Linked DNA regions of Sus scrofa. The protein of the gene in region 1 interacts with the protein of each later gene in a pairwise test. Links are inferred from orthologs where the notes say so. Each region holds a gene or a part of one and is shown on either strand. Other genes may lie near its edges. The genes, in order: ATP6V1D and C1H9orf16.

Region 1 (4,351 bases):
TTTCATTTCTTGATTATAAATCATTTCAGTTGAACAGTTCTCTTTGAAATACTATCAGTGGTTGAATGTGCACTGATTAGCCTCACTGGAGATGTAACTGAGTGAGGCTGGTTCCAGCCTGAGCAGGAGGTTTGCACCCGAATGTGTACACTTAACATACTATGTTGTTGACACTATTAGAATTTGGGCTCAAAGAGCTGAATCAAATTTAAGCCAAAAAAAAAAAAAAAGAATTCTGACTTTGCTTGATTTTAGAAAAGTATAATGCATTTACTATGTTCTATAATAATAACCCTGAGGGGCCTGGTTACACCCTATAATCAAACATATTAACATTTCTGCAGTAAAACTTAAGAATATTTACACTATGAGGGATAAATAAAGATTTTTCAGTTCAGGACAAAAAAAAATTTAAGTCAAATCCAAGTACTGCAGACTGCAGTAAGTTTATAGTAAAAAGGTGAATTGGTTGATTAAAACTGAGTTTAACATGCCAATTTAAATTTACTCCTAAGCAGTGGCATCTCTGTGAAATAAACAAATTTTAATTTTTGAGCCTCAAGGGTGACTTGCCCAAGGGCTTATAGCCAGTATGTACTAGAACCTGAATATGACTGACCTCTGTTGACTTCACTACCTTCATGCCTCTTTTGCTTCCACTCTAAACTTGTTTTGCTCTCTCTGGTGCCTAACTAGACAACAGCCTCATTTCAACCTCATTTCAAAGGATAACACCATAAGGTGGAAGTGTCTCAAACAGATGTTCCTAGTGTGTTTTCTACCCTAGCTCTTAAAAAAACCTGTTCTGTTACAAGCTCCAGAGCTGCTTGGCTTTACAAAAAATGTTTGACCTTCAGCTAGGATGATGACTTTGTTTCCAGCTGAATCAAAGACATCTGACTACATGACAAAATACTTGCTGATATGCCTTGGGGAAAATATTTACAGAGAAGCATTTATTTCCTCCACCTGATCTTCCTCTCAATCGGGAAGCTGAATCCTCTCAAAGAGCAATTTTCACCTTCACAAACTTATTATTTTTCTTGTCTAAGCCCAAAGAAGTGTATTTGCCTCTTAATCTCCAAAACAAACAAAAAAGTTAACATTCTGATAACTATCAAAGATTAAAAACAGCCAGTCATTAAAGTGGTAAAAACACATGTTTTCAGTAACCACTGACAGGAGGGGAAAGAGCTGAGCTCCATTCCAATTTGTGCACAGGTGATTAAGCATTTTAAAATGACTGAGAGTGGAGGCAAACAGAAGTGATGATCAGGCCAACTGTGTCTGCTAGCAGGTAATTAAGGGAGGGCGCTCAAGGGCATATCCTCAGGTGTGGGACAAAACAAAGAGCAAATTCTCCTGGCTGTGGCTGCAATGAGTTTTCTCAGGCAGGCATTATACTGGGAGCCAGAGTCATCCTGGGAACAGAGCTTAGGCTGCTAGAAGCCACAATAGTTTGGTGGTCTCTCCGTGCAGAGGTTTGGACTGAATCAGTCCTTAACTGCTGAGCGTTCTGCCATCCTCAGTAACCCCAGGGTAGTCCTGATCATTAACTATTTCACAGGCATTACCTTTCTCCATAACTGAATTGCGTCCATCTAGGACAAACAGCTATTGAAAAGTCAGGTAAAGGTAAAAACCAAACAAAACCCCCTTCATTTTATTAAAAGCTGTAGCCACCCAGGCAGAGACAGAAAACTAGGTTTAGGGTTTAAAAACAACTCTTATTTAAGAGTCCTCAGATTCTCTGAGAAAAAATTCAGAATGAAGAAAAACAAAAGGTCCCCCAAAGAGAGGACCACAGTCAAAACATCTCTCAGAACCAAAACTGACTTTCTGCTCCTTAGAGAAAGAAAAAAAAAAAAAAAAAAAGAAGAAGAAGGGGAGGAGAAAGGGGAGAAGACGACAAATAAGAACAATTATTACTTTCCACATGTTCTTAGGCACATTTAAGAAAATTTCAAAATTTTCTTTACAGACTGGCCAAACACCTAGAGTGCTATGCTATTTCTCCAGCCAAAGAATTCAGGCAATGAAGCCCACGACTGACCAAATTCCAAAATATGGGTTCATTCAGGCACCATTTTTTTAATGGACTTTCTATGGATTAATAAAAGAGATCTCATCCTGGAGAGGGCTTGTAGTTCAGTGGTAAATACACATAAAACAATATCCACTTTACAACGTGATGGGTGATATTAACACAGGCCTGAATGAGATGCAATGGTGACAGAGCAAAAGGAGTGCCTTAGAAATTCTGGGATAGCTTCCCACCTCAGGCGACAAACATTTCAAGGGAAAAGGAGCAAGGGGATCCACTATCGAACCTAACGTCCACGTTACGGTGATTGGATTCAACCCCCAATTTGGCTTAGAAGCCTGCTTCCCATCGTAGTAAACTTCCTTTTTCAAAGCATTATCGGCAAACCTCCTCGGCTTGTCTGTCTTTAGCTCTCTTAAGGCACAAGTGACGAAAACTCATAGGTACGTAAGGATAGTGCCCGGCTCAATAAAGGAATGTGGGGTGAAAAGCTCAATTAATGAGTAAAGTCAATGAGCCTTCATAAAATCCAGCAGGCCGGGCGCCTGTTCCACCGGCTGGGCTCGTTCTGCCCAGTCCGGTTCAAACAGAGGAATGTGTGCGGGCCCGCCAAAGAGCTTCGCCCTGGACTCACGAAGTGTCTGAGGAGAGCTCAGAGTCGGCCAAGGAAACAAGGTGCCTCGCTGCTGGTCCAGGGTGTGAACGGACAGCGGCTCCGGGCCGGTGTTCCTGAACCCGTAAGTGTGTTCGTTCCATTCTTTTACTTACATTCGCGAGGGAAAGATTTCAATTCGGTCTTTGCCCGACATTCTGACGGCGACCGTGCGGCTCCGGTCCCAGGCCAGGCAAGTGCTGCAGCCACAGAGTCCTTCTCTACCGGAGTCAGCTGGTTGTGTCACGTGACGCCCTTCGCGTTGCTAAGAGGCAGCCGGAGTGTCTCTTCTTCACTTCCGCTTTCTCTTGGCACAGGAGTGCAGGAAGGCCGGGACAGGAAGAAGGCGATGCCCGGATGTTGAGGCGCGCGCACCCCGGAACCGCCCCTCGATTCCGGTACGCTGCCGAGCCCCTCCCCCTCCAGCTCCCAGGCGGCTGCGCAAGGCTCTACACCCAAGAGACGAAAGACCGAGAGAGAAGAGTACACCCCTTCTCCTCCTCCACATTCACCTCTGGTCACAGCGCCACCTCATGGTTGACTGACAGTATCGTAGAGAATTTATTCTTTAGGGACAAGGAATCCGAGTCTTACTTCTTATCTGCGCCTTGAAAGTCACTTAGCGAAAACTAAAGATGGCGAGAAAATGTACTTTTCAAGTCCTCCTAAGGCCCACAGACCTCTTTGTTCGCGGAGGACCTAGACTCTATGGTAGGTGATGAAGAGCGGTCTGTAGTCTGTCGGCGCTTGCGTGCTGCGAGGTGGTTCCGCATGCGCGGTAGGGTTGAGAGAAGCGCACGCTGAAGAGAGTCGGCGGCTGCTGCGGGTGGATCAAGTCAGTTCTCTCTGATTGAAGAGCGCGGCGCGGGGCCCCAGTGCGGGATCCATATACATACCTCAGGTGACTAGTCTCCCCGATCAGTTTCTCGAAGAATTTACTTTGGTTGTGTCCAATGGCATGGGTGTTCGGTAGAGGGTAGGCCCTGGGTTAACACCTCCTTTTCCCGTCCCTGAGCGGGAAGTGCCTGGACGCGACTGCGGTCGCCACCGGCCGGGTGTCGGTCTCTCCGAGCGGTGGTGTCAAGGTACGAACGAAGGAATCTCGTGAAGGGAAGTGGGCCCAGTGATTGTACAGCGTCTTCAATATACATAAAACAGGGGTGCCTTGAGGTGGGGCCGTCTCGGGAGAACGCTATGACACCCCCGCCCCACGACGCTGAGCATTTTGCTCTCTCCGGGCCTGAGAATTCCATCTTTTTCGTCCGCCCCAGCAAATACTACCTCTCAGTGGAAACCAGACCGGCCGCTTCAAGGAACCGGTGGTTTGGGCCATGATGTTGACAGAGTTGGGTTTAAAAGTATCCAAGAATAATTTGTTCCTCTGATAACTTATATTTAAAAATTGAAGCTCCTATCACTTTATCGCTCGGTGCATTTCTGTAGACTGAGTCACCCCTTCAGTTGAAACTAAAAGATACTGTTGAAGAGTTTATATATAACTCTTAGTATCGGTTTACCGTGTTTCAGCATCGATGAAAGTAAACTTGTAGAATTACACGCTGTGATCTTTCGGTTAAGCATAACTAAAAAAACATAAAGATAAGGGAATTTTATTACCCCCCCAAACTTAGACTACTTTAAGTTTTATTTAACAA
Region 2 (4,570 bases), on another chromosome or scaffold:
TTTGTTCCTGAGCCTTGGTGTCACCATCTGGAAAATGGGTGGATATCAAAAGAGGAAATGCTTTGGAAAATACTTCAGCCTATCATCGTTTTTTCTAGGGGCGGGGGGCGGGGGTGGGGTTGTCACAGGGAGGTCAGCCAGACAGTGTCCTGCTTGGGAAGTCCTACCAGGTGCCAGGTCTCCTCACCCCTTCCTGCAGCAGCTGCCTAGAGGCCAGAGCCCCTGTTTCTGAGTCAGGCCATCAAAGCCTCTGTCCCTAGGCAGGCCCTACTCTCCAGCCCTTCCTGGCTCCCCCCTGCCCTGAGGATAGGGCTCCCAGCAGACTCCAGGGCCCTGCGCTCTTTTCCTGCCCCGCCTATGCTGCTTCTTCCTTTGCCTCACACCTGCCTTTGCCCACCTCAGGCCCCTTGAACATGCTGTGGCCTCTGCCTGGAATGTGCTGTGTCCTCCTTCTGTCTTCTTTCCCTCCTCTCCTCCTGGGTGAGTCCCACTCATCCTTCAAGTCCTCAGCGTGGATGGTCCACAGGGAGGCCTCCCAGGCCTGGCTGGATCAGGCCTATCTTCCTGTTCCCCTTGCCCACTGACAGCTCCTCGGCCCTCACCTCCGGATCACCTGCTCTGGTGGCGAGCTAACCTGTCTCCCCCATAGACTATAGCGAGCGCTCTGTGAGAGGTGGAATGGCCTTGTGGTCCCTGCTGTCTTCCCCCGTGCTCTCCATGTCACACAGTAAGCATTTGTTGAATGAATGAATGAATGAATGAATGAAGTCCGACTCTCCAGCCTTCCTGCCTTTGCTTAACTGTTCCTGCCACCTGGAATGCCTCAACCACAAGAGCCGTTCAAGGACCAGCTTCCAAATGCCTCCTCTTCCAAGAATCCTTCCCTGGTCTCCACCAGAAACCACCCCTCCCTCCTCCACAGACACACCTGACCTGCCGCTCTCGGCAACACCATGTCCCTTAGGACCCAAGGTCTGGGCCTGTGCCTACTGCGGGACCCAGTTCTGAGCCAGCCTGTGACTCAGATACATTCAGCTGCCAGCTTGGGACAAAGGGGAAGCGGCTGGCAGTGGCTGCACATGGCCAGGGCTGGAGGACAGTGTCTGGGATAAGGGTGCAAATGCGTCCGCCTTCTGGGGGATGGGCGCCCACTGCCCAGCGTTGGCACAGCTCACAGGGGACAGAGTCCTGGAAAGCCTCTGCTGGATCTTAGAGTCCGATCCCCTTGTGGTACAAGTGGGGAGACCAAGGCCCAAGAAAGCAGGGTCTTCCAGCTGGTTGTTGGCAGAGCCAAAGTTCAGGCTTGGGGAGCAGGGACACTTGGGTCTCAGTCCCAGCTCTGGCCTGTCCCAGCAAGTTACTGCACCTTTCTGAAGAAGGGGGGGGGAGACAAGAATTTTCCCAAGGGTTGTTGTGAGCATTCACATGCAGATATCAAGACCCCAGGGTCTGGCCACAGCAAGCGCTTCGTTCAGTATTTCACATTCCGGTTGGGAAACCCAAGAGAGGAAGAAGATGGGGGAGGCAGAAGTCTCCACTTCTGGGGCTCAGCTTCGTCTGTCAAGTGTCAAGGGTGCTTCAAAGTCCCAAGCCTTTGTCTTCCGATGGGGACGCCCTCTCCACCCCCCACTCTGCCATGCACTAAGTCCAGGGAATCTGCCAACTTCCACTCGGTGTGACTCCCAGGAGGTCCTCCCTGATGCTCCCACCACAGCTCCCAGTGCGATTAACCACGCCTGGTGGCTGTCCACCAGCAGTGCCCCCGGCAAACCGGCAGCTTACCACTTACCCCACTTACTCTACCTCTTTATTAAACACAGACCCTGAGAGAGGACGTGTTCTAAAGCTATTGTGGTGATAGGTGCACAGCTCTTTGAATAACCTAAAACCCACCGAATTGTACAATTTAAGTGGCTAGATTGTATAGGATGTGAATTATAACTCAATAAAGCTGTTCCTGAAAACAAACCAAAAGCAGACTCCATACTTAGCCCATGCTTACTGTCCTGCCCTCTAAATTAATAAACTAATTTTTATTACACTGAAGGGAATAATAACCACTTTCAGAACACTTGCGTGCTTGGAACCTGCTAAGTATTTTCCATTCATTTTCTCATTTAATCCTGGCCCATCTCAATGCAGAAGACACTAACCATCATTCTTATTTTGCAGATGGGGAAACGGAGGCTCCAGAAGGTGAGAAGGGAGCTGACGGTTCTCTCTCCACACCCCCACCCCCACCCCCCGCAGTGCTGTGCAGGCAACAGGCGACTTTAGTAAGCAAGTCACATTCGCCAGGGCTCCAAGCCACACCAGCAAAGGGGGCAGGGGATGCTGATTCAGCAAGTTGGCACGCCCACCCAGAGGGTCCACGCCCGGCCCCGCCCCCCCCCAGGAGCCTCGGTCCCCACAAGGACTGAAAGAAGTGGCTGGAACAAATCCCAGTCCCCAAAGAGCGAGGGACCCTGAAGCGGCCTCAGTTTCCCCGTCTGGAAAACGGGGTTTGCCCACGGAAGTTCCCGATTGCTACGATTTCCAGGGACCCGCTGGCAGTGCTCTCCCGGGGCGCCTGCAGCTCCCGACCCACCCTGGGGCGGGGGGATGGGGAAGGCTCTGCAGTCCCTTCCCTGCCCCTATCCCAAGCTCCAATTCCCCTTCTCAGGAGGGCACCCCCGAGAAAGCAAACGTCGCTTCAGCAGCCCTCTGGGTCACCTGCTTCCCCGAAGCCGTCATTCTCGCCTTCCGCGCCCGCCTCCACCGGCATGCCCAGGTCCCCGTTGGGGCCCGACATTGCGGGCTCGGGCGCCGCAAGGACCGCGCGACGATGGAAAGCGGCGACGGTCGCGCAGACAGCCGGCACCAGGCGGAAGGTGGAGGCGGTGAATGGAACTCGGAGCCGGAAGGGTGGAACGCGCCGGAGGAAAGCGCTTGGGTGGCCGGGGCCCCGCCCCCGAGGCCGGAGCCCCGGGGCCCGAGCTCCGCCCTCTCTCCGCCCCACCGCCGGAACTCCGCCCCTGCTCTGCCGCCAGACTCCGCCCCTACGCTCGAGCCCCGCCCCCACCCTGCCTCACAGTCGAGCTCCGCCCACTTCCGCCAGACGTCCTCCGACCCCAGCCCAGGCCCCGGGCCCGCCCCCATCCCGGCCGCCGGGAGAGACCATCCTGGGGCATCCTGCCGAGAATGTCAGGTGGTGCGGGCTTGGCCCTCGGCGAGGGCACGTGAGCCCGACAGAGGAGCAGGGCAGCCTGGGACCCCTACTCCAACCCATACTGCAGCTGAGGACCTGCGGGTAAGCTAGCCAGCGCCTCTGCGTGGGCAAAATCTGAGATGCGTGGTTTCCAGGGCCCCTAATGTATGGAGAAGGTATCCGTTCACAGCCACCTTGAGAGTCATGGTCAGGAGAGTGCAGCTTGTGGCTGTCAGTCCGGGAAGGCTTCCGGATAAAGTCTACCCAGCTGCCATCACACCCTATCCTTTTTACCAGCTGGGAAGGGGAGGCCTGCCCAAAGTCACCCAGCCAGAAAGCGTTGCTCCTGAGCTGGACTCAGAGCCGTGAACCCGTTCAGGGGTGCCCCTGAGTCCGGTCCGCGTCTGGGGAGAGGGGCTCACTTATTGGGGCTCTTGTAGCTGAAGCTGCTAGGAGGCCCCATGGCTGCTACAGCCTGGTCCTGGCCTCACACTGGCGGTTCCTGTGAACAGGCCAGCCTCTAGGTGGGGTCAGGCCCAGACCCCGATGATGACAGCAGGAAGGGATCCTCTCTGTCCCAGAAGCTGCCTTATTGTTTCAACTGAGCAACACGGAGGCACAGTGAGTCCTCCTGTGGTCAGAGCCACCACTGACTTACATAAGGGCAGCCCTGCCTTCCCCTTAACCAGGCTGAGTGGAGGCGACGCCCTCCACGGAGCCAGAGTGGGAAGAATCGCAGTGAACTGCCCCCACCCAAGTCAGCTGACCCTCCTTGATGTTGAGGGGTGGGTACCCTTCCTCCCTCTGTCCCCCTAGTACCCCCTTCCAGCCAAGCCTCTGCTTACTCCCTACCACTTGGGGCTGGATACCTGCCCTCAGCCCCCTCAGAAGATGCTGTGTCCATGGCTGGGGCAGGTGGCAGAGAGCACCCAAGCCATTCCTGGAGAGGGATGAGTCTTGGGCTCCAGAAGGGTCCTGGGAGTGTACCTGGGGAAGCAGGACCTGCGGCTCAGACTTGATCCCTGGCCCAGAAATTCCGTATGCTGTGGGTGCAGCAAAAAAAAAAAAAAAAAATGCTGGCTATCGGTTCTGTGGCCTCTATCCTTTGCTGAAGACCACAAAGGGGGGTCCAAGAGCGATGCTAATGTGAGCCCACCCTCTGCCTGTCCTCCTCCCAGATGGGACAGGGGTCAAGGAGCACAGGCTGGGGGTGGGGGGATATCTTTATTTAGCAGGCAGGGTGGGGCTCCATCAGCAGGGCAGCCCAGGGAGCAGCTGGTGGGCAGTGTCATGAGAAGCATCTCTGGGCCCTCTCCTTCCACGGGGACCCAGGCTGGTGAGGACAGCTGGGTGGCATGATGGGCAAAGGCTGAAGACATGAAG

What was found.
Region 2: the proteins of ATP6V1D (region 1) and C1H9orf16 interact in binary tests that used the Homo sapiens proteins (3 or more experiments, as listed by UniProt). The two-hybrid records come from large-scale screens. The link is inferred for Sus scrofa from reciprocal best matches to the Homo sapiens genes ATP6V1D and BBLN.

What each region holds. Positions count from the first base shown.
Region 1 is NC_010449.5:91,081,842-91,086,192, forward strand, and holds the start of ATP6V1D (V-type proton ATPase subunit D), read right to left. Parts: upstream 3,068-4,351; 5' UTR 2,854-3,067; coding exon 2,813-2,853; intron 1-2,812. UniProt on the Homo sapiens protein: Subunit of the V1 complex of vacuolar(H+)-ATPase (V-ATPase), a multisubunit enzyme composed of a peripheral complex (V1) that hydrolyzes ATP and a membrane integral complex (V0) that translocates protons.
Region 2 is NC_010443.5:268,614,474-268,619,043, reverse strand, and holds the start of C1H9orf16 (UPF0184 protein C9orf16 homolog), read right to left. Parts: upstream 3,005-4,570; 5' UTR 2,792-3,004; coding exon 2,713-2,791; intron 73-2,712; exon of another isoform or gene 1-72. UniProt on the Homo sapiens protein: Essential for intermediate filament organization in intestinal cells, interacts with intermediate filament and regulates intestinal lumen morphology.